2 linked regions of the Kluyveromyces lactis genome follow. The protein of the gene in region 1 purifies or fractionates together with the protein of each later gene. This does not show direct contact. Links are inferred from orthologs where the notes say so. Each region holds a gene or a part of one and is shown on either strand. Other genes may lie near its edges. The genes, in order: EDE1 and HRR25.

Region 1 (4,295 bases):
AAACAGGATCCAGTTTTACAGCATGTAACGAATATGATTATGAGACACGGGAAAAGAGAAAGAGCTGAGAAGATTCTTTCAAGAGCGTTATATATTGTGTTCTGTCAAACAAGGAAAGACCCGGTAAAAGTTTTGAAAGAATCCTTGGATGTGTTGGCGCCTCTTATGGTTATCAAGACCTTCAAGACTGGTGTCGCAAAGGCCACTGTGGTTCCAGTTCCATTGAATCAAAGACAAAGGTTTAGATTAGCTTGGAAATGGATTGTGGAAAGTTCTGTGAAGAGATCATCGAGCGATTTCTCAGTAAGACTTGGTGAAGAATTGGTATCTGTCTTCAACGGTAATAGTTCAGGTTTCGAAAAGAGAGACTCTATTCATAAGACTGCTATTGCACACAGAGCTTACATTAACCTAAAATGATCAAAGTTCCAACCTCCACTGTATTTACTTGAATAAACCTGTACATATGTATACGTGAAATATAAATGAACGTTATCGATTTTCATAGTTATGCTGAATTTGTTGCTCTATCTTATATGCAATTCCTAGGCCCAGCAGACTTCCCGAAAAATTGGCCAAAATATCGTTTACATCAAAGGACCTTTTTCCTCGTGAGAGGAACTGTTGTGCAAATTCACTGCTCGTACTGGCACATACGCAGCATACAATAAATGCCAATAGATATTTGTTCATGGAAAAAGGTTCGTACGCAGCCAAATTCCTTGATCGTAGTCTTTTGGGGATGAATGCCGGCAACTGTACGGTATCACATTCAAACATCATGGTAAACAGAACGGTTTCAATGCAAAATACTATGCAATGGGCGAGCTTATCATGAGTTGATGTTATTAGCTTTAACCTGGCATCAGTAGTTAATCCGAGGAAGACAACAAAACATACACTCGAGAAAAATGTTACTGCGTATTTATATCTTATCATTTATCAATTTTCATAAAAACTCTCAATAAGAGTTGCATACACTCTACACAATTTCTAAATGAAGTGATAAACTCAACTCTCTCATCGCATTGGAAACCTTAATCCTACATCAATGCTTCACTTCTTTATGCGATCCGAAAGTCATCTTGCACGATTATATAGTTTCATCATCTTTTTGAGATAATTGAATAACGACAAATTGGATCAAATGGTCGAAACCCCTTTCGTGAAATATAGCCGATAAACTGCAACAGATACACATCCACCACGCCTCTGGGAACCATGTCAGGTATTGCGTTCCGTGTACCCCTCACTAGTGAGGAAAAGCAAGCATTTTCCCAGCACTTTTCTCGGTTAGATAGAGAACAATTGGGAATTGTGACTGGAGAAGCTTTAAGACCTTTGTTTAGTCAATCAGGGTTAACTCCGCAACAGTTGTCGCAAATATGGACCATTTGCGATACCGAAAACGCGGGCTTCTTAACTGTTGATCAATTTAACGCCGCTCTAAGAATGGTTGCGCACTTACAGGAAAATCCAGGTGCGCAAGTTACTTTAGAATTGTATCAGACTCCTGCTTCGAAGCTCCCTTCATTCGGACAAAGTCAAAAGTTCAACTCTGCTTCTACACAACCATCTATCCCACCACCATCAAATCAGTCTCATTCTGTCCAGAGAGTCCCCTCTGTTATCAATAGATCGGTGAGCAGAACTAATACGGGTTCGTCGCCAACTTATTCCGTCATTCCTGTATGCACTCCTCATGATTATGCCAAGTTTGCCCAATTATTTGACAGATCAACGGAAGAAAGCGGTTTCCTAGCTGGTAATAAAGCAAGAGAAATCTTCCTTAAAGCAAAGTTACCAACTCAAACTCTAGGTACTATTTGGGGGTTGTGTGACAGGAGCAATAGCGGAAGCTTGGATAAAGTGGAGTTTGTTATGGCGATGCATTTGATTCAGCTAACACTACAGCAAAACGCAGCCGTTCAAAACTTACCTTCTACTTTGCCAAATTATTTGTGGAATTCTTTGAATAGTACAGCATCTTCTACTCTGACTCCACTGAGCGCCAATAACACAGGCTTCTCTTTCACATCTGGCAGTGGATCTGTTGTCAGAAATCCGGGAATTATCAGAAAACCTTCTTTGTCCAGACTTCCATCCGGTACTTTTTCTAATGCTGCAACAGATTGGACCTTGACTCTTGAAAAAAAGCAGCAGTTTGACGCTATTTTCGATTCTTTGGATAAAGAGAAAAAGGGTTCCTTAGGTTCTAACGTCTTAGTTCCATTTTTTTTGACATCGAAATTGGGACAGGATGTCTTAGCAACTGTGTGGGATCTTGCTGATATTCATAACAGTCCAGTTTTCACTAAGGTTGAATTTGCGATTGCAATGTTTTTAATTCAGAAGAAGAATGCCGGGATCGAATTGCCAGATGTTGTTCCTGATCAATTATTAAATTCGCCAGCTTTAGGTTTGTACCATCAACAACAACAACAACAACAACAACAGCGCATTAGTGTAGCAAGCACCGGAGATGCTGGTCAAAATTACCAAAATTTTGCAGCTCCGGTTCAAGCTCAGAAAACCAGTAATAGCGCTCTGGATGACTTGCTTGGTCTAAATGAATCATTCACTCCTCCGCCTCCATCTCTTCCTTCCCAGCCACAATCATCGGCTCAGCCTTCAACACATTTGGCACCAAATGCTAGGAAATTTAGACCTTCATCTACATTTGGACAAACCATTATCCCTGAAGAAGGTGGTAACGACCAGCAACAACAACAACAGCAGCAGCAGCAGCAGCAGCAGTATATGCAAACTGCTCCTACACACGTAGGCTCTGCAGCTCCTCCTCCACCACCCACTGCACGTAATTCTTCGTTACCAAGTGTTCCAAACTTTGGAGGTGTTTCTGTCCCTTCGAGGGAAGTCACTTCTAACAATCGTGAAATTGTGCCACCGGCATCGCTTTCTCAGGCCACTACTGAACTTGCAAATCTCTCCACTCAGGTGAGTTCATTAACGACACAAGCTACGAAAGTTCATGAAGAGAAAACAGCTGCTCAGAATGAACTTACTCGTATAACTAACATGAAGGCATCGATCGAGACTAAACTCATTGGTTTGCGTGCGTCTTACAATGAAGAAGTTCGTCAAACGGAGGAGATACAGACGCAATTGAACGCTCTTCGTGCACAAAACGAAGAGTTAAGTCAACAAGCTTCTGTTGCAGAGGCAAATTATCATGCTGTGCAGACTCAGAACGAGGATTTGCAAACACAGTTGCAACAAGCTCAAGAAGAGGAAAGGCAGTTAAAGGAGAGGTTGGCCCAGTTTAACACTTTGTCCTCTCAGTTACAGCAACAGTTGGCTGAAGTTCAAGAGAATGCTAAAGCTGAAAGATCCAGAGTCGATATTCATGCCAAGCAGTTAGAACTTTCAGAGATGACTGCCAACAATCTTCAAACAGAAATTCAAAGTCTTGAACAAACCCTTGGTATCTACTTATCAAAGCACAAAGAATTGGATGACTACAAAGCTACTATTGAGGCTCAGCACGCTGAGATGGAAAACAAACATAAGCAATACCTTGCAACTTCTGAAGAAGTACATGCACGTGAATTGGAAGTTCAATCCAGAACAGCAGAGATAGAAAAGCAGGAACAACTATACCGTGATCAAGTATCGAGGTTGCAAGAACTATTTAATGATTTGAATAAAAGGAAGTCGGAGTTTGAAGCAGCAAATGCAGAGTTTGAGAAGCAACAGTATGACTATGCCGATAGAGTCCAAAAATTCTCTGAGAATCAAATGAAGTTAGCCATGGGAGAAACCCCTGATGATGAGTATACAAACGAATTGATTCAAAAAAGACTGCAAATTCAGACTGCCCAGCCAGCTGAGGAGGAGGAAAAACCAGAAAGTGTTTTCGACAAAGATGTTCCAACTCCTGTCTCACAAACTGAACCTGACGAAGAACAAAATCAACAATTAGAAGATGATCAATTAAGCGAGCAGCAATTACATGACCAGCAGGGTAATGATGAAGTTGCTGCCGAAGCGATGGCAGATTCTTTCGAAGGAAGTTTAAACGAATACGGCATCCCTAGAACAGAATCTGTCACATCGTCGACAGCCAACAATCCACCTCAATCAGTTAGAGACGAAGTCGAGAGTGAGCCAAAGGAAAACGCTGTCCTAGACATTGATCAACAGCTGGAAGATGCTGAAAACAATGATATTACTAAACAAGGGAGTGAAACTGTACAACCAGCTTCTACTGATGAACCATTACCAGGTGGATGGTCTACTGGTTCTACGTTAGAAAAGGATCAAATATCAGATTC
Region 2 (3,806 bases), on another chromosome or scaffold:
ATCAAGTTGCAGGGATACGGCCAAGGTTGCGTGAAAAGGATATCCACATCATTTAGTTCAACTTTAATACCAGTTTCTTCCCATATTTCACGCTGGCAAGCGTGCTCCACAGTTTCTGCAGGTTCCATGAAACCAGCGATGGTGGAATACATTACCGCGTTACCGTGCTTTCTTCTTGATCTTGCGAGACATATTTTTGAGAAACATCTGTCTACGATTGCAACAATGACCACTGGATCTGTTCTTGGGAAACACACATTTGAAACAGCTGCGTCCCTTACCGAGCATTTAACAGATTCGTCGTTATTTCCACATTGTAATTTGGTTCCACCATGGACAGGAAATACTTTCGATGCACATCCGGGACAAAACAAAAACTTTCTCAGCCAATCTAAGTACATGTTTGCATGAGAGAAGAGCGAAGCAACTTCATTGCTTAGGTTGAATGCTTGCATCCTCCCAAGTGGTTCGTATTGATCTAGTATGAACTTTGTCTCCGACTTTTGAACTAGAGTATCGGACGCTGGCCGCAAATCCATGGCAAACAATGGGGTACCGGTGTACTCCTTGTAAGAAAAACTGCTGTCACCATCCATCAACCCTAAAAACGTTATTGTGAACCCGGATTCAACTAACCATCCTCTCTCGGTATCCATGACAGATCTTATCTTGTTTAGTAAGCCTGGCCATTCCGAGTAGTTAGGACAACCTTGATGTCCTAACATTAATAAATTGGTACCAGACTTGTCACTAGTCTCAGTTGCGAATGCTGCCCCATTGATAAACGGTACAAACTGAGTACTTCCATGTTCGAACGCTTGCTTGATGAAAACCTCGTCGTCCCTTAGGAATGACACTCTATTGATAGTTTCCAATCCGAAAAAGGTTACACTTCTTTCCATATGTACTGCGCTATCAGGCTAACCACACTATACGGGTACTAAATTGATCGAACTCCAAGTACAACAACCTCTCCAGCGATCAAAACGACAATGCGACTAGGTTGTGCACTGAATATACACGTATAAATCCAACTGTTCCCGGTCATTATGTGGATGTGACTGCAAACCATGCTTTGGAAATTACCCTACCATATATCACGTGATCATAAGTTTCTACTATCCCCTTCGTAGAAAAAAGAAACACTATTATTTTTTGTACCAAAAATTGAAATTGAAATCAACTTAACCACAATTAATCACCATGTTTGATATTTCATTGGTGGAGTTAGAGCATTAGACGGAGAATTTAGTGGGCCATTTGGTGTCATAACACAGGTTAACTGATACGGAAACTCAGATATCAAAGTATAGTTTCAAAACGTCCATCTTTCCCCAACTATATACTTAGGAATTTGACCTTTTTTTTGGTCTCTGTTTTGGTTTATTTTTTTTTTTTTTTCATTTCAGAACTTCAGGTTTAGTTGCAGAATTTCCCTCTCAATTTTGTGAAGTTGAGAAGCAATAAAGCAACAAGCAACTGACATATCTCACTGTACGTTTGTTTCCAGTTGAGTTTGATTATAGGATAAAAATATCTTACTTGATATTTCTGGTATTTGAGCTTGTACATGAGAACGTGGATATAAAGACTTATTTTGAGGTTCTGCGGTATATATACTTTCATTTGATTAGAAATATTGAAGGTAAGACGTGAACAGGAGAAGACAGACATAAGGAACGAAAAAGAAAGATGGATTTAAGAGTTGGTAGAAAGTTCAGGATTGGGCGGAAGATTGGCTCTGGTTCCTTTGGGGACATTTATCATGGGACTAATTTGATTAGTGGTGAAGAAGTCGCTATTAAGTTGGAGCCGATTCGTACGAAGCATCCTCAATTAGACTATGAGTCTCGAGTTTATAAGTATTTGAGCGGCGGTATTGGAATACCATTCATCAGATGGTTTGGGAAGGAAGGTGAATACAATGCTATGGTGATCGATCTTTTGGGTCCGTCTTTGGAAGATTTATTTAACTATTGTCATAGGAAATTTTCTTTTAAGACCGTAATCATGCTTGCTCTGCAGATGATCTGTCGAATCCAATACATTCATGGCAGATCTTTCATTCATAGAGATATTAAACCGGACAATTTCTTGATGGGTGTCGGAAGACGTGGATCCACCGTGCATGTTATTGATTTTGGTTTATCCAAGAAGTATAGAGATTTTAGAAGTCATAACCATATCCCATACCGAGAAAATAAGAACCTTACTGGTACTGCACGTTATGCCAGTGTCAATACGCATCTTGGGATCGAACAAAGTAGACGTGACGATTTGGAGAGTTTGGGTTACGTGTTGATATATTTCTGCAAAGGGTCCTTACCATGGCAGGGGCTCAGAGCCACGACAAAAAGACAAAAATACGACCGTATCATGGAAAAGAAATTGTGCATCACCGTCGAACAACTATGTCAAGGTTTACCTATGGAATTTGTTGAATACATGAGATATTGTAGGAACCTCAGATTCGATGAAAGACCAGATTATATGTATTTGGCTCGTTTGTTCAAGGATTTGTTCATCAAGTTGGAATACCATAATGATCATTTGTTTGATTGGACCATGTTGCGTTACACAAAAGCCATGATCGACAAACAAGGAGGCGCCCAAGCATTGGAACAAAAAGATGAAAATGGTAATAAACAGGATTCATTTGATAAAGTGAAACAATTGGCTATGAAGAAATTTTCAACACATTTCCACTATTGGAAACCAGATGATACTTCTCATCCAACTGCTGAAGACATAAAACAACAGACTATCCTAAACACCCAAGTTATCTCCACGATCCCAGATGAAGTCATGAATGCTATCGACAGAAACATGGAACAGTTGAAGCACGAAGTGAACCAACAGGTGGCGTCTCAACCACAACAAGGACAACCACAAGGACAAACTCAGGGACAAGGACAAACTCAGGGACAAGGACAACCACAATCAGGTCAGCAACTAGATACACAGTTACCTCAACCTACCACGTTACTACAACAGCAAAGGGCACAAGTTCAAGGTCAACAAGAACAGATGTTACAACAGCAACAACAACAACAACAACAACAGCAGCAACAACAGCAGCAACAACAGCTTCTGCAACAGCAACTGCAAACACAACAACAAACGCATCCAAATGCAATGGCTATCACCAACCCACTACCAAACCCTAATAACACCACCAAAACTACCACTACCAATAATATCTGGCTTTAAACGCAAAAGACGAAAACAATGCGCAAACAGTTGCAAAATCTGTAGAGTAGAAAAAATCACACACGCTCATACATATATACAACTCATCATCAGTTAATCATGGGCTTCTAACCCACATTGGTTATAAATTATAACTCGGAAATCTGTTACCTAATTCACACTTATATTTCTTTCTTATATGTACTTGAATAGTGGAACATGGGGGAGAACACACACAGGGATTTTCTCACCAACATGAGCAACCATGAAAGTAAGCTGGTTACTGAATCGGCAGCTGACACAGGTTTACGGTACTCGCAGTTCACAGCTCATTGTTGCTGCTGCTGAAGTTTCCCTCCTCATCCTTGGCAAGGCCATTATCGCAATATACGAATTCCACTACTAAATATCGAAAAAGGGTTTCTGTTCCTCACATGAACAGTGAATTGTGAAAAACTAGACCAAAGGAAAACTAACAACAAAAGGAGAGTCAACTGTGGTGAGAAAAAGAGAGCAATCTAGGGCGCATTGAGTCTTGAAAAAGTGCAATATCCATATAAGACTATCAGTCCAAAGCTATAATTAAGGCAAAAACTGGTTTGTCCCATTTTGTACTG

Evidence for each region.
Region 2: the proteins of EDE1 (region 1) and HRR25 purify together in Saccharomyces cerevisiae (affinity purification with mass spectrometry; 4 studies listed by BioGRID, with this or other methods). This does not show direct contact. The link is inferred for Kluyveromyces lactis from reciprocal best matches to the Saccharomyces cerevisiae genes EDE1 and HRR25.

What each region holds. Positions count from the first base shown.
Region 1 is NC_006041.1:513,860-518,154, forward strand, and holds the start of EDE1 (Ede1p), read left to right. Parts: upstream 1-1,221; coding exon 1,222-4,295. Other genes in the region: RSM7 (mitochondrial 37S ribosomal protein uS7m), read left to right, coding at 1-420; KLLA0_E05765g (uncharacterized protein), read right to left, coding at 493-939. UniProt on the Saccharomyces cerevisiae protein: Functions at the internalization step of the clathrin-mediated endocytosis (CME) as an early-acting scaffold protein. Requires clathrin adapter proteins, ENT1/2 and YAP1801/2, for normal spatiotemporal dynamics and viability.
Region 2 is NC_006040.1:264,069-267,874, forward strand, and holds HRR25 (serine/threonine protein kinase HRR25), read left to right. Parts: upstream 1-1,692; coding exon 1,693-3,210; downstream 3,211-3,806. Other genes in the region: NPY1 (NAD(+) diphosphatase), read right to left, coding at 1-902. UniProt on the Saccharomyces cerevisiae protein: Protein kinase which phosphorylates serine and threonine residues. Can use casein as a substrate. Phosphorylates elongator complex member ELP1/IKI3 on 'Ser-1198' and 'Ser-1202' which promotes the tRNA modification function of the complex.